2 linked regions of the Tribolium castaneum genome follow. The protein of the gene in region 2 binds, or shares a complex with, the protein of the main gene of each other region. Links are inferred from orthologs where the notes say so. Each region holds a gene or a part of one and is shown on either strand. Other genes may lie near its edges.

Region 1 (7,246 bases), about 160 kb from region 2:
CAATTATTCAAATATCTTAAAAACCACCAAAGTAACAACTAGCTTAGTGGACCACCATGTGTTATCAAACCATGATAAAGTCCTAGAACCAACAGTTGTAGAAATCTTTGACCACAGAACCATCAACACCGAAGAAATTTGTCGGGGGGATCACGTGGAAAAGACCGTTATTAAAATAGTCGGTTCTTGTTGCACTTTGATCACAAATGAAATTATTGAGTCAAAGTTGCCAATTTTATTTCATGACTTGAGTCACCTTTTATATGGTAAAAATTCCAGAAAGTTTTATCTTTGATTAAAAAATTCTTATAGCTACAATTATTTACGACACTATCGGACTTGATAAGGAAAGTGGGAAAACGTTCGAGGATGATCTTCAAGTTGCACATTACTTGGAAAACATCCTTAAACCAACCGAAACCAGGAAAGAATTGTTCAACGTGTTGTGGAAAATCCACAACGATACGTCTAGTCTGACTAGCCAAGATTTACTCTACCGAGACCTAAAAGTGGTTAAGGGTGTCCCAATCCCGGGTTTACCAATGTTGGTTGAGCAATATTTAAGTCGTGAGGATGCAGATAGCGCTATTGCAGCGTTCGCGAGTGAATTCAAAACATCCAGTGTTGTTTTAATTGGGATTGACGCTAGTGGCGACGTTAAAAGAGACATTGCGGTTTTTTCTACCGATTCCACGTTTAAAAAAACGTTAATCTCGATTTTGAATGACAGTAAACATGACTTACGACTCACCGAGACTTCTGTAAAAAGTAAGAATATTGTGTGTTTCGGACAGGGCAATATTAAATTGACACGTAAATTTATTCTGCCTCTGGTAAACGATGCAGCTGTACAATGCCAAAAATAGGAAAATGCATTGTTAGTCTTTAATAAACGAAATTATAAATAACACTCTACAAAATTATAAAATACCACTGTTTTCATAACGTATGGTGATACGGAGCAGGCGTTGGCACACTCATTAGAGGCGAGTTGAGGTCAATATCCATTTCAAGAGGTACAGCAGTCTCCTCTTGCGAATTAATCTTAGTCTGAAGCGTTTCGTACAAATTGTGAACCTTTTCGCTGTGTTGGTGCGTCGGTTGCAGCGCTTTCATCAGCGTGTGTAAACGACTAGCCGGCAGTCGGGAATGTACATACCACAGCAATTTCAGTAAATGTCTTGTCACGTTCTCCCTCGTCAGCCCAGCAAAAAAGAATTCGTCGAAGAGAACAGTACAAAAATCCTCAGCTTGAAACTCCTCCGGATTATGAATAAGGAAAATGACCTGCGGAAACCACAACTTTGCAAATAATTAACACAAATGTGTGTACACGTACGAGAGAGTGGAGGAACGGGTCCTCAAAAGCCCGGTCGTCTTTACAGTTCGCCAAAACCGTCAAGACTCGCAGCAGCCCCACCCTGTCTTTAAGCCGGGCCACGTTCAGGGTGTAGTACATGGCGAGAATACTGGCGACTGAACTGTCTTGAATGTAGGCCTCCACTGCATCGGGCAAGGGCCCCGAATGTTCGATAACTGTGATAGCAGCTTCGCGTTCATCTGGGGGCAATTTGCCTGACAATTGCCGCACTTGGTCGTCGACCATGAGCGACATTAGGGCCGGCAAAAATTTCGTAACGACCTGACTGTCCAGTTTGGGCTCTTTGAAGTCTTGGGAGTCGATCATGACCCAGGCACTTAGACCCAAAGCCAACATTCGCAAGAGCAAAATTAAAATCGTATTGTCCTAAAATATTCGTATAAAAATTATAATTTTGTTTCGAAAATTCTCATTATTTACCCTCGGCATCCCTTCTACGTATATGAGATGATGCAGGATTTTTATGGCCGACGTGGCCAAAAAATTAATGGCGTAGGGGTCGCATAAAGTCATTGATAAATCGCCCAGCACCTGCTCTTGGCCCCTCTTAACGTTATCCAAAAACCCTTGCAACTCCCTTGAGCGTTTAATGTCGACATTTTTTTCCCTAATGCAGGCATCAAGGCACCACGTAAATTTATGGCATGGATCTATCGAAATTATATCCTGAACTTCCAAATCGTGTAAGGCCATTAATAATTCGGCCCTCAAAGTGCAGTAATGCACGTTTCGGGTCCGCAAAAACAAAGTGCGAAGAAACTGGAGCACCATATCGTACAATTTAACACTGTTTCCAATCATGTGTGCCAACTTCTGGACGACTTCCCCTTGGCGCCGCACCTTGGGGGAAGGCCCGAAGAACTGGGTGCTGATGTTGGTGTGATCGAACAGCACGTTCTCTTTTTCGCTGATGTACTGACTCAAGAGAGGCGAGACCTCATCTCCGAAGAGCGACTGGTTGTCCTTCCAGATCTGCCGTTTGACTTCTGTGTCAGTGTCGTTGTACAGTTCCCGATCTCTAACTAATATTTTCAAATAGTTGTCGTCAATCTGTGGTGTGTTTTTCAAAATCGCCATCACTATCGGCCTTAAAGCCTTCACTTTGACCACAGGGAAACTCTTTACGAGTAAATCTTTCAGCTTCCTGTCCCTTTCGCGTCCTTCTTGCTTGCCGATTTCATTGATGTGTGCGATTAGTTTCTCTCGGAGTTCCTGAACCAACATCGTAATTTTTTCATTAAAGGGAAATAAATACAGCGAGTTGGGAACTTTATTCGGGAATTTTTTACTAATGGAATTTATGTCTACATGAATGGCAAACTTATCTCGCTGGACCTGAATGAGGGCACATAAAACACTTTATGTTTTGACGTTTTACTACCAAAGTTGGTTTTGTGAGATTACACGTTTATTTATGTATCTAATAGAATGTAAACCAACATTGCGTTTTATTACAAAACTTTTGTTCGTAACAATGCGGTTTAAAGCCAAAAACAATAAAATGTTTTTAAAAAAAGTACAATTACTGCAATCAGAAAAAAATCACAACAATTGAATAAGGAAATACGGTGTTAATACATTTTAATTGAAAATCAATAAATCCAGTTGTAAATTATGGAGTAATGAACGAAACAAGACACCAACCAAAAATGAGTCACATTATCGACCAACTCCTGAGCGCATTTTCATACAGTTTGCACCATAAAAGCAATTATAAACAGTTTTATAATTCTTATTAAGTAAAACCATGATACATTAAATACCATCTGATTTTCGGGATGTACTCGAGTAATAATCACATTCAAAACAACATTTAATTTAAATTTCATAATTATTATTATGAAAACATTAAAAACAACGTTGAATTTGACTTTTACCCTTTTTTCTAACTCAGATTTTCCTGAAACATCAATTTTTAGGAAAATGAGACGATTATTTTCAGGTTTTAGTCGTTGAAATTTGTTGAGTTTGAAAATCAACCCATTGAGGTCGTTTTAACACAAAAATGGAAAAATAACTTGTTTTTAAGCCCACTTTAGCTATTAAAACGTCGATTTTTTATGAAAAATACCCTATTTTTTATGTCCTTTTTAAAATGTGAGCCAGATTTTAATGCTAAAAATAAGGAAAACTAGGAAAGAGTGGGGTATAATGATCCCTCGAAAAATCCCTGTTTTGTAAAGATTTCTTAAAAAATATGAGCCAGGCGTAACAACTGAATCTGTGGTTTTTATTAAAAAAATAAATACATAGACAATAGAAAAATGACTAAGAAAAATCGGATAGTTTATAAACTATCTAGCTATTTTAGTTGAAACTGGGTTTTCTATTAGTTTGCAAACTAACCAGCTAGTGTACAAATTAGCCAAGTTTACACATTGACCGTAACATAGTTTAGTTTTAATTTTCTTTATTTGTTATTTTTGGGTAGGTATACGCCTTCCCCTTCACTGACGAAACTTATTGAACATTATTACTGTGTATGGTTTGTTTAAAATCAAATATATTGATGCCAGTTCTAGTGAACTTTAAAGTCCAACCCATCAGACATTGCCACTAATGAGGGGATTAATATTTAATGAGAATACTTTACCTCTACAACTGACATGTGAAAATCCAGTCTTCTCACCCCGTGTAGATCAAGTAATGGAAGCATTGGGCGTAATGAGGGTAAAAGTATCCCGTTTGTAACCTATAAGAAAGCGAATTTATTTACAAATCTATGGATAAAATCATGACAAAAAGTACCTGAAACTCTTCAATGGCTTTGAGCGGATCAGTGCAACTAGTTAAGGCATGTTTGAGGAAGGTGGGCCCGTGTATATTGAGGGCTTCCAAAGGGAAATCGTTTCTGGATGAAGACATTTTGCAGTACGAATCCTTACACTAGTAAAACATCAAATCGACGCAGTTTATCACTTAAATTCGGTGTTAGTATCACAGAGATTACAATTACACATCTCAATAAATATAAACACACAGCTTTCATAACCCATTATGAAAATATATTGTCAAAAAACACACCATTTGCTGTCAAAAGCGTCAAACAAAACAAAGGTCTTTCACCTATTTAAAATGCTGCGCTGTGATTGGTCGACGTCAAATACAATAAGAAGCGGTAAAAGCAGCACTATTCTAATAACTTCCGGTTTTTCAAAAGGCGAATTTTCAAAGTGACTCTGACAGTTGTCAGGAATTTTCGGCGATGCGTTAGGAGCATGTTTACATTGTGTAATATCGGGCAATTGGCGGAATTACGGTGATTTTGCGGTAAATTACGCCGAGTGTGACGACGTTAAGTGACGTAGAAATAGACGCTAGGTTGCACTAGTACGCAGATTTGGGGGAAGCCTATCAAAGCTTGTTGAAGAAATGGCATTCTTTTTGACACCCAAAGGCCTATAGTGCGCTAAATGTGGCTGGTTATCCGCCGTTCGAGTCGTAAATTCGTTAATTCATGGCTTTTTGGGGAGTTTCGTCGAGATTAATGTGAATTAACAACGTTACATGTATTGATCACCGTATAGGTTATGTTTCCAACTTTCATTAGCATCCTAGGTGTGTTTACGGAAATTCGCCGATTTGGCTTCTCAAGTGCTGTTTTCCCTAATTCTGGCCGTTGTTTCAGATATTCAATCATGGTGGGAGGTTCCAAGCATTGCACATTTTTGTTCATTGTTTCGAACAGCATTTAACCTTTTGGATTTTGATATCGAGGTAAAACCACGCAAACAATTCCTGCGTTCGGGTTTTGATTCGTTTTGCTTTGATCTAGGATTTGGAGGAGGCTCTCTTGACTGATGGGACGGAGGAAACCTCTTGGCTTCAAGAACTGATCGTGAGGCTTCTCAGTGGGTGCTTGCCGAACAATGAAATCTCAACGTTCAATTATCAGATGTTCCTGAGACGTCTCTTTCGCCAGAAATGTCAGGAACATGATCAATACAACCCATTTAACACAGACGTTGATTTCCAATTGTTACCTTTGAGAACAAAAGTGGACATTTTACATGCACTCTGTGATTTTCGTTTAGATGCTGATGATGTGCTTGACCAGCTGAAAAATTTAGAAGCAGACAGCTTGAGGGTTGAGCCCCTGGGTTATGACAGTAACGAATCTGCTTACTGGTATTTTTACGGTACTAGACTGTACAGAGAGGACTTTAAAACCAAGAATAATAAGAAGAAATCCGTGTGGCAGGTTATTTGTTTCACTGAAGACGATTGGTTTCAACTTAACAAGAAATTTAAAAAATCGACTGCTAAGTGTGAAAGAGAGTTACATCGTACTTTAAGTGAGAACTTCTTGCCTGAATTGCCCAGATTGTTCCGGGAAAAGGAAAGACTGGCCAGGAAGCGTCTGCTGGAAAATCAACCGAGACGCACTTCTCGACGTTTGAGAAAAGTAGTAAGAAGTTAATTATTTAATTTTTTTACAAGAGATTATTACAGGAAAATACAACTGAAAAAGAAGAAGTAACGTGTGAATCGCCGAAAACCAATCCTCTTGAAGAGGAAGAAAGACAAAGAAAGCGCGATTTGGAAATCAAGAGAAAAGAAGCTTATGAGAGAAGTAACAGACTTAAAGAGCAGAGCGAAGATAGCCAAAGTGAGGACTCTGAAGTACGGTATGAGATGGGCGGGACTAAAACGCGACAAAAGAAGTCCAAAGGAAGACAAAGAAAATTGTCAACAAGTTCCTCTAACAGTAAAGGTAAATACGAAATTATCAATTGTAACCTTGAGATGTACAAGGTGCTATAGCTAAGACTTTTTTATTAAAACTTTATTTATAAGCTAAAAATAATGAATTACCAAGAAAACAAACTTACCTTGAAACTTAAAAAAACGCAAGAATATTAATTAAACAATTGATTGATGTATCTAATATTCTTTTATTTAAAAATCTACCTTTTCGAATAAAAATGGTCCGATTTATGAATTTCTTACTACTATTCGTATTTATAAATAACACTATATGATCCCATGATTAGTTAAAACAGGAGACCAGGAAATTTACAAATTATAGTCTTGTTTTAATTTGCGTTTTATTGCTTATCTCCGAGAATATTTCAGGTATTTTGATTCATTAGTCACACAGATAACCTATCAGAATATTCTGAAATATGATAATTAGAACAGTAAATATAATTAATTATAACCACTTGTTAGATGCATCATCTGCGCCGAAGAGCTCAAAAAGGAAGAAAACAGGTGAGGAGACTTCAAAATCCTCGACTTCTTCCGCAACTACAACAGTTGGTCGACAAACCAACAATTCGCTGGCGGCAGCTACTGGACAAATTGTTATCCAACCTGTTACCAACTCACACAAGAAAAAACTAAAAACTTCTCAAGTGTAAGTTGTTTTTTCCCATTGCACATATTATTCAAAGTTCCTGTTGACCTAAAATTTACCAAATAAGTGGAAATTTTAGATAAATTTGGGTTTGTGAAAGTTTTCTTCCATGCATGTCCCTGCTCCTTTCAATCCCTGTAATTTTATGGTAATTTCTTATCAGAAAGATGTGCGGTTTTGGAGTAAAGTGCAAATTTTAGGTTTCGTCAAACCGACGAAGATCTAATAACAGGAATGCACAAGATCTTAGATTACGTAAAAAATCATGAAGACGCATGGCCCTTTGCCGATCCTGTTGATGAGGATTACGCACCCAATTATTACACAGTTATTCGGAAACCAATGGATTTGCAAAGAATGGAAGAGAGGCTGGATGCAGGTTATTACAAGAACTTTGCAAAATTCAGAGACGATTTCCAGTTAATCGTGGACAATTGTCGACTTTATAACGGTGTTGAAAATGGTAAAAAAATAATCAATAATTTATCAGTTTAGTTAACTTGTTA
Region 2 (7,068 bases):
GTTCAATTTACAATGCGTTTCGAATACAGCTGTCCAGGAGCTGATGCGGTGCATTCGGTCGCAATTGGACAGTTTGATAACGGGGTTACCTAAGAAGGAAATGACCGCGATGGCGTTAGGTTTAGCTCATTCCTTATCACGGTACAAGTTAAAATTCTCGCCTGATAAAATTGATACAATGATAGTCCAAGCGGTTTCGTTGCTTGATGACCTCGATAAAGAACTCAACAACTACATAATGAGGTGCCGCGAATGGTACGGTTGGCACTTTCCCGAGCTTGGGAAAATAATCACTGATAACGTTGCGTTCGTCAAAACTGTTAAAATCATCGGAACGCGTGATAACACCGCCAGTTCTGACCTCTCCGACATTCTCCCCGAAGAAATTGAGGAGAAAGTCAAGGAGGCAGCTGAAATATCAATGGGTACTGAGATATCCGACGACGATATTTTAAACATTCAGAACTTGTGCGACCAAGTTGTAGAAATTTCCAATTATCGCACCCAGTTGTACGACTATTTGAAGGCCCGTATGATGGCGATGGCCCCAAACCTGACAACGTTGGTTGGGGATTTGGTGGGCGCTCGTTTGATTTCGCACGCTGGGTCTTTGATAAACTTGGCCAAACATCCGGCCTCCACGGTGCAGATTTTGGGGGCTGAGAAGGCGCTATTCCGAGCCCTCAAGACCAAGAAAGACACCCCGAAGTACGGGTTGATCTACCACGCCCAGTTAGTGGGGCAAAGTAGCACCAAAAACAAGGGGAAAATGTCTCGAATGTTGGCGGCTAAAGCAGCCCTCGCAACTCGAGTCGATGCTCTAGGCGAAGACGGGAATTTCACGCTTGGGGCGGAGCACAAAGCCAAGTTGGAAGCACGTCTTAGAATTTTGGAAGAGGGGAATTTGAGGAGAATTAGCGGGACGGCGAAAGCCAAGGCCAAGTTTGAGAAATATCAAGGGGTTTCGGAAGTTCAGCAGTATCCTGCTGCTGCCGACTCGACGTTACCTTCGACTTCGAAGAGGAAGAGGTCAGAGTCGGAGCAAGTGAAGGAGGAGTTGAACACGACTCAGGAGACTCCCAAGCAGAAGAAGAAAAAGGTCAAGACGGATGAGACCAATGACAGTATCAAGGAGGAGGATGAGGACAGTGGTGAGGGCCAGAAGAAGAAAAAGAAGAAGAAGAAGGCGAAAGAGGAAGCGGAGGAAGAGGTGGAAGCGGAAGTTAAGGAAGAACCTGAGGTGACGCCTGGGAAGAAAAAGAAGAAGAAGAAGTCCGAGAGCGAAGCTCCGCCTGAAGTTGTTGAAGAGCCAACAAGTGGAAAAAAGAAAAAGAAGAAGAAGAGCATTTCCAAGGAAGATGAATAATTTAGCGGAAGGTTTTTTATTTTTTACAATAATAGACATTCTTATTATTAAGGTGCTGTTATACAACAGCGGTGTAATTTGCTTTGCAATAGACTAAAAACAAACAATAAGAAATTGATTTACCACGTTTTCCCACTCACCGATAAATTCAGACACGGGGTCGTTCTCCCCATCTCCTCTCATTGTTCCCGTAATTTCGTCATTTTCAACCATTGGCATAAATAAGTGGACGAATTCGGAGCTATAAGGGGGCCCGATGGTCTCCAAAACCTACAAAAATTGCATTTTCCGGTCATTTTTAACAAAGTAACTTACTTCCGTTACAAAGTAACGAATCAGGGATATGTCCGTGTCGCCTTTTTGCCAACACTGTTTTATGTACTTTACAACGGGTACCACACATCCAGCACATAGCAAATTTACCATTCTGTCAAGGACCATTTTGCGCATTTCAAGCTAACAAAAAAAAAACTGAAAAATATCGTAAAAAAATTGATAACTTACTTGGACTAAAATTTCCAGTTCGTCTTGCTTGGATTCAAACAACCTGATTAGTAAGTCGAGTACTTGATTATGGAGAAGAGGGTGACAAGTAACTACTTCATCCAAGAGCGCCAAATGAATTGGAGTGTGTTCTGTTGACAATTTAAAGTAACTTGCTTCGGTAACAGTGCACTCAACCCAACGGATAATTCCAACAGAAACGACTGGATACCTAAAAAAATAAATATAAGTTTCTTAGTTGACAATGTTTTTGATAATGGTGATTTACCGACATTTTATTTACAAAATTTATTCAGTTTTTATTAAAATATCATCTTAGAAACTTACCTGAGACACTGATACAGCGTTGCAAGTTCTGCCATTAGCTCTGAACTCCCTTTATTGGTATTACAAATATTGTGGACCGTTTCAATTGAATGAATAGTCGCTTGAAGTTCATCTTTATTGACCACTCTTTTTTGCCCTTTTTTGGCTTGCATTTCATAGACACTTGCTGCATAAGCTAACAAATGGATATATTTGGGCTTGTGGTCGGGGTTGAGTTTTACTCCAGGTTTAAACAAGGCATCAATCAATAATTCTGAAATTGTGAATTACCATATATTCAGAATCGTTAAAAAACAAACCCAGAAATTGCGGAGTTCTGATTAAATCAATGGGAGGAGGGTCTGGAGCGTTGTAATTTCTGTACAGAACTGTAATGTCGGCTGGATTAAGTGTATTTTTTGAAAGCATTGATGTCAAGGCCTGGCAGGCCAGAGGGTATGCAGAGGCGCCGTTTAACGCCATTGTGATTGGAGTTACGTCATGGCCACTGAAAATGGATAAATAATTTTTGTGTTTACTAGAAAAAATTATACTTTTTTTGGGCGCATTTCGTGATTTCTTGAGACAGTCGCTTCATGCTACTGCCACCCTTGGATTCTCGAGCTAACACGTGGATAATCACTTGACTGTAAACGTATGTGTGCTGGCCGTGGCACACCATTTTCTAGAAAAATAGATTTTTTTTCTTAGTGAATTCAAGTGTTAAATTGCATAATTTACTGCACACTCCTTGCTGGTATTTTGCCAGTCTTCTGGATTGGTCAAAAAACTAGCAATTGAAGTTTTGAGTACTCTAGAGAAGACTTCCAACTGTTGAGCTGCCGTTGAAATGCTTGTGATTTCAGCTTGGAAACCGGCGTCGGAAATAAGCTGCAATTACCACATTTACTCATGTTACACTTAAGGCAATTTTTACGAACCTTAATTGTGAAATTTAACATTAAGCAGTCTGGATACTCCTCAGCTAATCTATAAATCAGTGACCGCCACGTGGGATGTTCAATTAGCTGTGTCAGCCAAGCTGGCGTCTCACCCTCTTCTGTGAAAATCGTGTCAGCTTTTTTGGGATCAAATGTTTTCAAAATCATCTCTTTTAAGTGGTTCTCCACCATTGCTTGAACCGAAGTTACATTGACTCCACCTGTGATTAGCCATTCTGCTATCAAGTTAGCCATCTGGGCTACGGCGGTGTAGTTCTGTGATAATTCTTCAATCACTTGCAAGGGGTTTCCTCCAGACTGGAAATACCGTTTCAGCTGGGAGAAAATTCCCGGTTCCATTATGTAGTCTGAGGTCGAAAATTTCTCCGCGCATTCCTTAAGGACCTGCTCAGGGTTTTCCGTTTCATCGCCCGCATCTGACTAAAAATACGAGTTGTTGAAAGATTCAAGATTTCAATAAATGCTCACGTCATTATCGAGTCGATCAACGGTATCCCAATTTCTCTCGTCGTATTCTTCATCCATTGCAAGTTAATTACATATAACTGGGGCAGTTATATAAATTAAAACAATAAAAAAGTCGCGTCCTTAAACATAACATAACCTTCGAAATTTGACGTTACTACCAACTAGTAGTTATTTCGCGAAGTGTACGTTGGCGGCTTTGACCCACAAAGATTTGAAAATTATAAAGCAATTCCCAAATTTTCCGTAACTAGAATTTCATGGTACAATTTTATTAAATCCGGGACACATTCAAAGGTCCAAAATTGAATTAGTTGACTTTATTCACCAAATAATAAATTAATAAAACAGTACAATATTGTTTGGGAATTTTATAAACTGGATTGGCTAACATGGTTGACAGAACTTGACATGTTATGAAATTAAAGGTTATGAGAATCAAATTGTAATTTTTTGTAATTATTTTTTTAGTAATATAAACCGAAATGCACATAACGGTGCAATTTGGGTGAGAATTGTTTAATTTTTTGCTAAAACTGTAGTATAATTTAATATTTCAGGGGTGGTGCTGAATTGCTTTTTGATAACAAAAAGAGTCACGATGTAACATTACCTGAAAAAGACAAGGAATGTAAGGATAATAAGGATAATTCACTTTTTTACTGACTTTTAATCAAAGCATTTATCGCAAATAGTCTTTTATTTATCATTTTATCAATTTTTACTACACCTGATTTGATTAGCTTATTTTAAAGAAATGAAACACATTTGTGGATATCTTTTATACTTTATTGCTATTATGCTAACTGCTTAATATGCTTAACTTATATTGCAGGGATAATTAAGGATTTACTTATTTGGATTAAAGATAATTTATTGAAAGAGCGACCAGAACTGTTTTTGCAAGATGAGTCTGTGTAAGTATACCTACTAAATTTATTTTAGCTAAATTCAGACTAAATTATAAAATGTATTTTATTCTTTGGTGAATTATGAGCAGTAAGATTAAATAATACGTGTTTTTTTAATTTTCTTAATTATTTACATGCAGGATTCAGAAACCAGTCAGTATAACTCAAATTAGCAAAAAAATGGGATAATAAGCATTCTTAAAATTTACTTTATAAAAAAAGGTGAAAATCAGAATCGTTATTGAAGGACTCGCTTCTGTAAAAGTTAACAATGAGTGATTCCTGTCCCACAAAAGTTACTTGACGAAAAGTGAAATAAATACACAGATTGGCTTCTGAGCCCTCCATGTGATGAATACAGTATTTCATTTTTTGCTATCGTTGACAAATGAATTTGTTCCGAGTTTCATATTTCCCTTTTTTCCACGAAATTACAAAATCTGCTCTATTTTTATAATACTATCCTTGTTTCGATGCATGTATGCAGCAATATGATCCGCATAGGTAATTGATTCAGCATCTATTTACTCACGCCGCGTTGATTAGTTGCTCTTGTATAGCTTGTTACGTTCCGGCGCTTAAAAATGCGCTCACTCTTTTATTATTTTTTGTAGGCGACCTGGAATACTCGTCTTAATCAATGACGCAGATTGGGAATTGATGGTAAATTGCAGTTAGGGAATACAAATTTTTATCTTTATTTACATTTTAGGACACTGTTAACTATGTCATTCGGGAAAATGATAGGATATTGTTTATTTCCACATTACACGGGGGTTAATTTTATTGTATCTGTTTTTTTTTAAATAAAAGATTTGTTTATGATGTGTTTTTCTGCTTCCACTCTTTACTGTCATGACACCTTGGCCAATGACTCCTCTTGTTTTTTTTACTTACGATAGTTGGGTCGATTAATTCTATCTTTGTCAAAACATGGTTAAAAGGAAATGAGAATTTTTCTTCTATTGATAGATTATTATATGTATTGACCTGCATTTTTTGCCAAATTCGGGCAGTTTTTTTTTAATTATTGTCCGCTGGTTATGCTATGACAATCTGACAAAGCAAGATCTTGAGGAAGTTTCCAGAAACTAAAGAAAAGGCATATATTACTGAAAAAATAAGAAACTATTTTTTTTACATTTCACTATTATTGTGCTTACACTGTGCTAGAAACAGAAAAATTTTTTTTTGGAAACGCTTAAAATGTAGACTTTTACTTGGGCGCTCCGCATTCACCACTGGTTGAGTGACAATAAAGTAGCAGTTGTCTATGTCGCGGTTTTGGTGAGGGCATTAACAGTTCTCCATAATATTATCGGAGCAGCGGCGTCGTGTAAATAGGCTCGTAAATCGATGTGGTCAGATAGTTTACACCCAGTGTGGCCCTTATATGTAAATTATCGCTAGAGATCACATAACAAGATACACAGTGCATCACACAATAGTTTGTTGGTGTGGTGTTAACCCTCTTTCTATTCACCGGCGGAGCGCAATATTCGGAAATAATGATTTTATTTAAAATTTATCGCTCTGATCAGATATTGTAAGAGCCGAGAGCACGTAATATTATTACCTTTGTGGTACTTTCTGAATATCTAAGTGCAGTGTCAGCAGAAATAAGAAATCTTTACTATCTCATTGTTCACGATTCTACCGTAGATTTTACTTATGGATTATTGTCGTCCCAACCATTTCGAATATCTGATCTTTGCATAACTTCCCGCAACGTCTGGATAAATTAGCATAAAGTCGATGAGCCATCGAGAATTATGCGAAAAACCCGTTTTGTTTCCCTAACGATACATTATAATTGAGTTCGAGTTTAATTATCATAATGATGGAAACTTTACGCATAAAATCATTATTGTTATAAGTACACGGAGCGTTGTATTTAATGGCGAAAGAAGTGGCAATTATTTGAGAAAATTGGGGAAATTGGTCATTAAATTTCCATAAGTAGGAGGGAACGATTTCCTAAAAGAAATATACTAAATTAAGGTTAAGTTTTATGATTTTGCCGCTGTAAAGGATAAGGCGGACAGGACCATCGCAGGATAATGATGTCGTTTATATGGAGATCCTGTGCGTAGATGATGCTCAACCCGGTTGACTGCAGCACTGAGGTGTGTCGAGACATATGTAATGTCTTACCATACACTTTTTGAATCCAGTTCAAACAAATATTGACGAAATTGGGAATAAATTCTGATTTCGCGCTATTTACGATGCTACCTTTCCGACATTTGTACGTTTCTGCTTTCGGCTGTGTAATAAAACTGACATTAATCCGAAAATCATTTGAATGTGTTTCATTTTTAACCGCTGTAATCTCCTTTAGTCGATATTTACACCGGCTATTATACCTACTTTTAATACAATTTATTCGCTTTTTTTATTTTAAACCTGTTCATCCAAATTCGTATTTATGCAATTCAAAAATGTGCCTGTGTTTATGAGAAAAATTTACGTGCTATATCGCTCGCACGTTACGTTTCCGTGGGGTTCGGATTATGGGTTAATTTTGGAAAAGAGGGACTGTTATCCAGAGACC

What was found. Proteins that work in one complex are often made in the same cells at the same time.
Region 1: the proteins of TH1 (region 2) and NELF-B are in contact, whole or in part, in a crystal structure (PDB 8JJ6), measured with the Homo sapiens proteins. The link is inferred for Tribolium castaneum from reciprocal best matches to the Homo sapiens genes NELFCD and NELFB. Residues at the interface, in XP_047296144.1 of Homo sapiens: Arg63, Ile66, Met67, Glu68, Pro69, Ile71, Phe72, Leu75, Ile89, Gln90, Leu92, Ser93, Tyr96, Thr97, Ala98, Val99, Ala100, Gln101, Thr102, Val103, Asn104, Leu105, Leu106, Trp109, Leu110, Gln112, Thr113, Gly114, Val115, Gln121; in NP_056271.3 of Homo sapiens: Met49, Leu53, Leu56, Val58, Ala59, Asn60, Gly61, Leu64, Lys65, Leu68, Thr69, Leu75, Ile78, Glu79, Phe81, Gln82, Glu84, Asn85, Gly86, Val87, Leu88, Leu89, Ser91, Leu92, Ser94, Ala95, Leu96, Pro97, Phe98, Leu99.

The regions. Positions count from the first base shown.
Region 1 is NC_087394.1:30,667,514-30,674,759, forward strand, and holds NELF-B (negative elongation factor B), read right to left. Parts: upstream 4,417-7,246; 5' UTR 4,247-4,416; coding exon 4,130-4,246; intron 4,074-4,129; coding exon 3,975-4,073; intron 2,594-3,974; coding exon 1,802-2,593; intron 1,788-1,801; exon of another isoform or gene 1,748-1,787; coding exon 1,340-1,747; exon of another isoform or gene 1,288-1,339; coding exon 940-1,287; 3' UTR 872-939; downstream 1-871. Other genes in the region: pn (exopolyphosphatase PRUNE1), read left to right, coding at 1-266, 313-866; uncharacterized protein dikar, read left to right, coding at 4,912-4,939, 5,010-5,098, 5,157-5,786, 5,834-6,095, 6,554-6,740, 6,941-7,203. UniProt on the Homo sapiens protein: Essential component of the NELF complex, a complex that negatively regulates the elongation of transcription by RNA polymerase II.
Region 2 is NC_087394.1:30,828,671-30,835,738, forward strand, and holds TH1 (negative elongation factor D), read right to left. Parts: upstream 3,776-7,068; 5' UTR 3,664-3,775; coding exon 3,607-3,663; intron 3,559-3,606; coding exon 3,118-3,558; intron 3,068-3,117; coding exon 2,918-3,067; intron 2,862-2,917; coding exon 2,731-2,861; intron 2,685-2,730; coding exon 2,497-2,684; intron 2,451-2,496; coding exon 2,198-2,450; intron 2,082-2,197; coding exon 1,871-2,081; intron 1,823-1,870; coding exon 1,682-1,822; intron 1,637-1,681; coding exon 1,507-1,636; intron 1,481-1,506; exon of another isoform or gene 1,460-1,480; coding exon 1,425-1,459; 3' UTR 1,367-1,424; downstream 1-1,366. Other genes in the region: nop5 (nucleolar protein 58), read left to right, coding at 1-1,366; Urm1 (ubiquitin-related modifier 1), read left to right, coding at 4,089-4,111, 4,164-4,234, 4,439-4,520, 5,129-5,177, 5,227-5,295. UniProt on the Homo sapiens protein: Essential component of the NELF complex, a complex that negatively regulates the elongation of transcription by RNA polymerase II.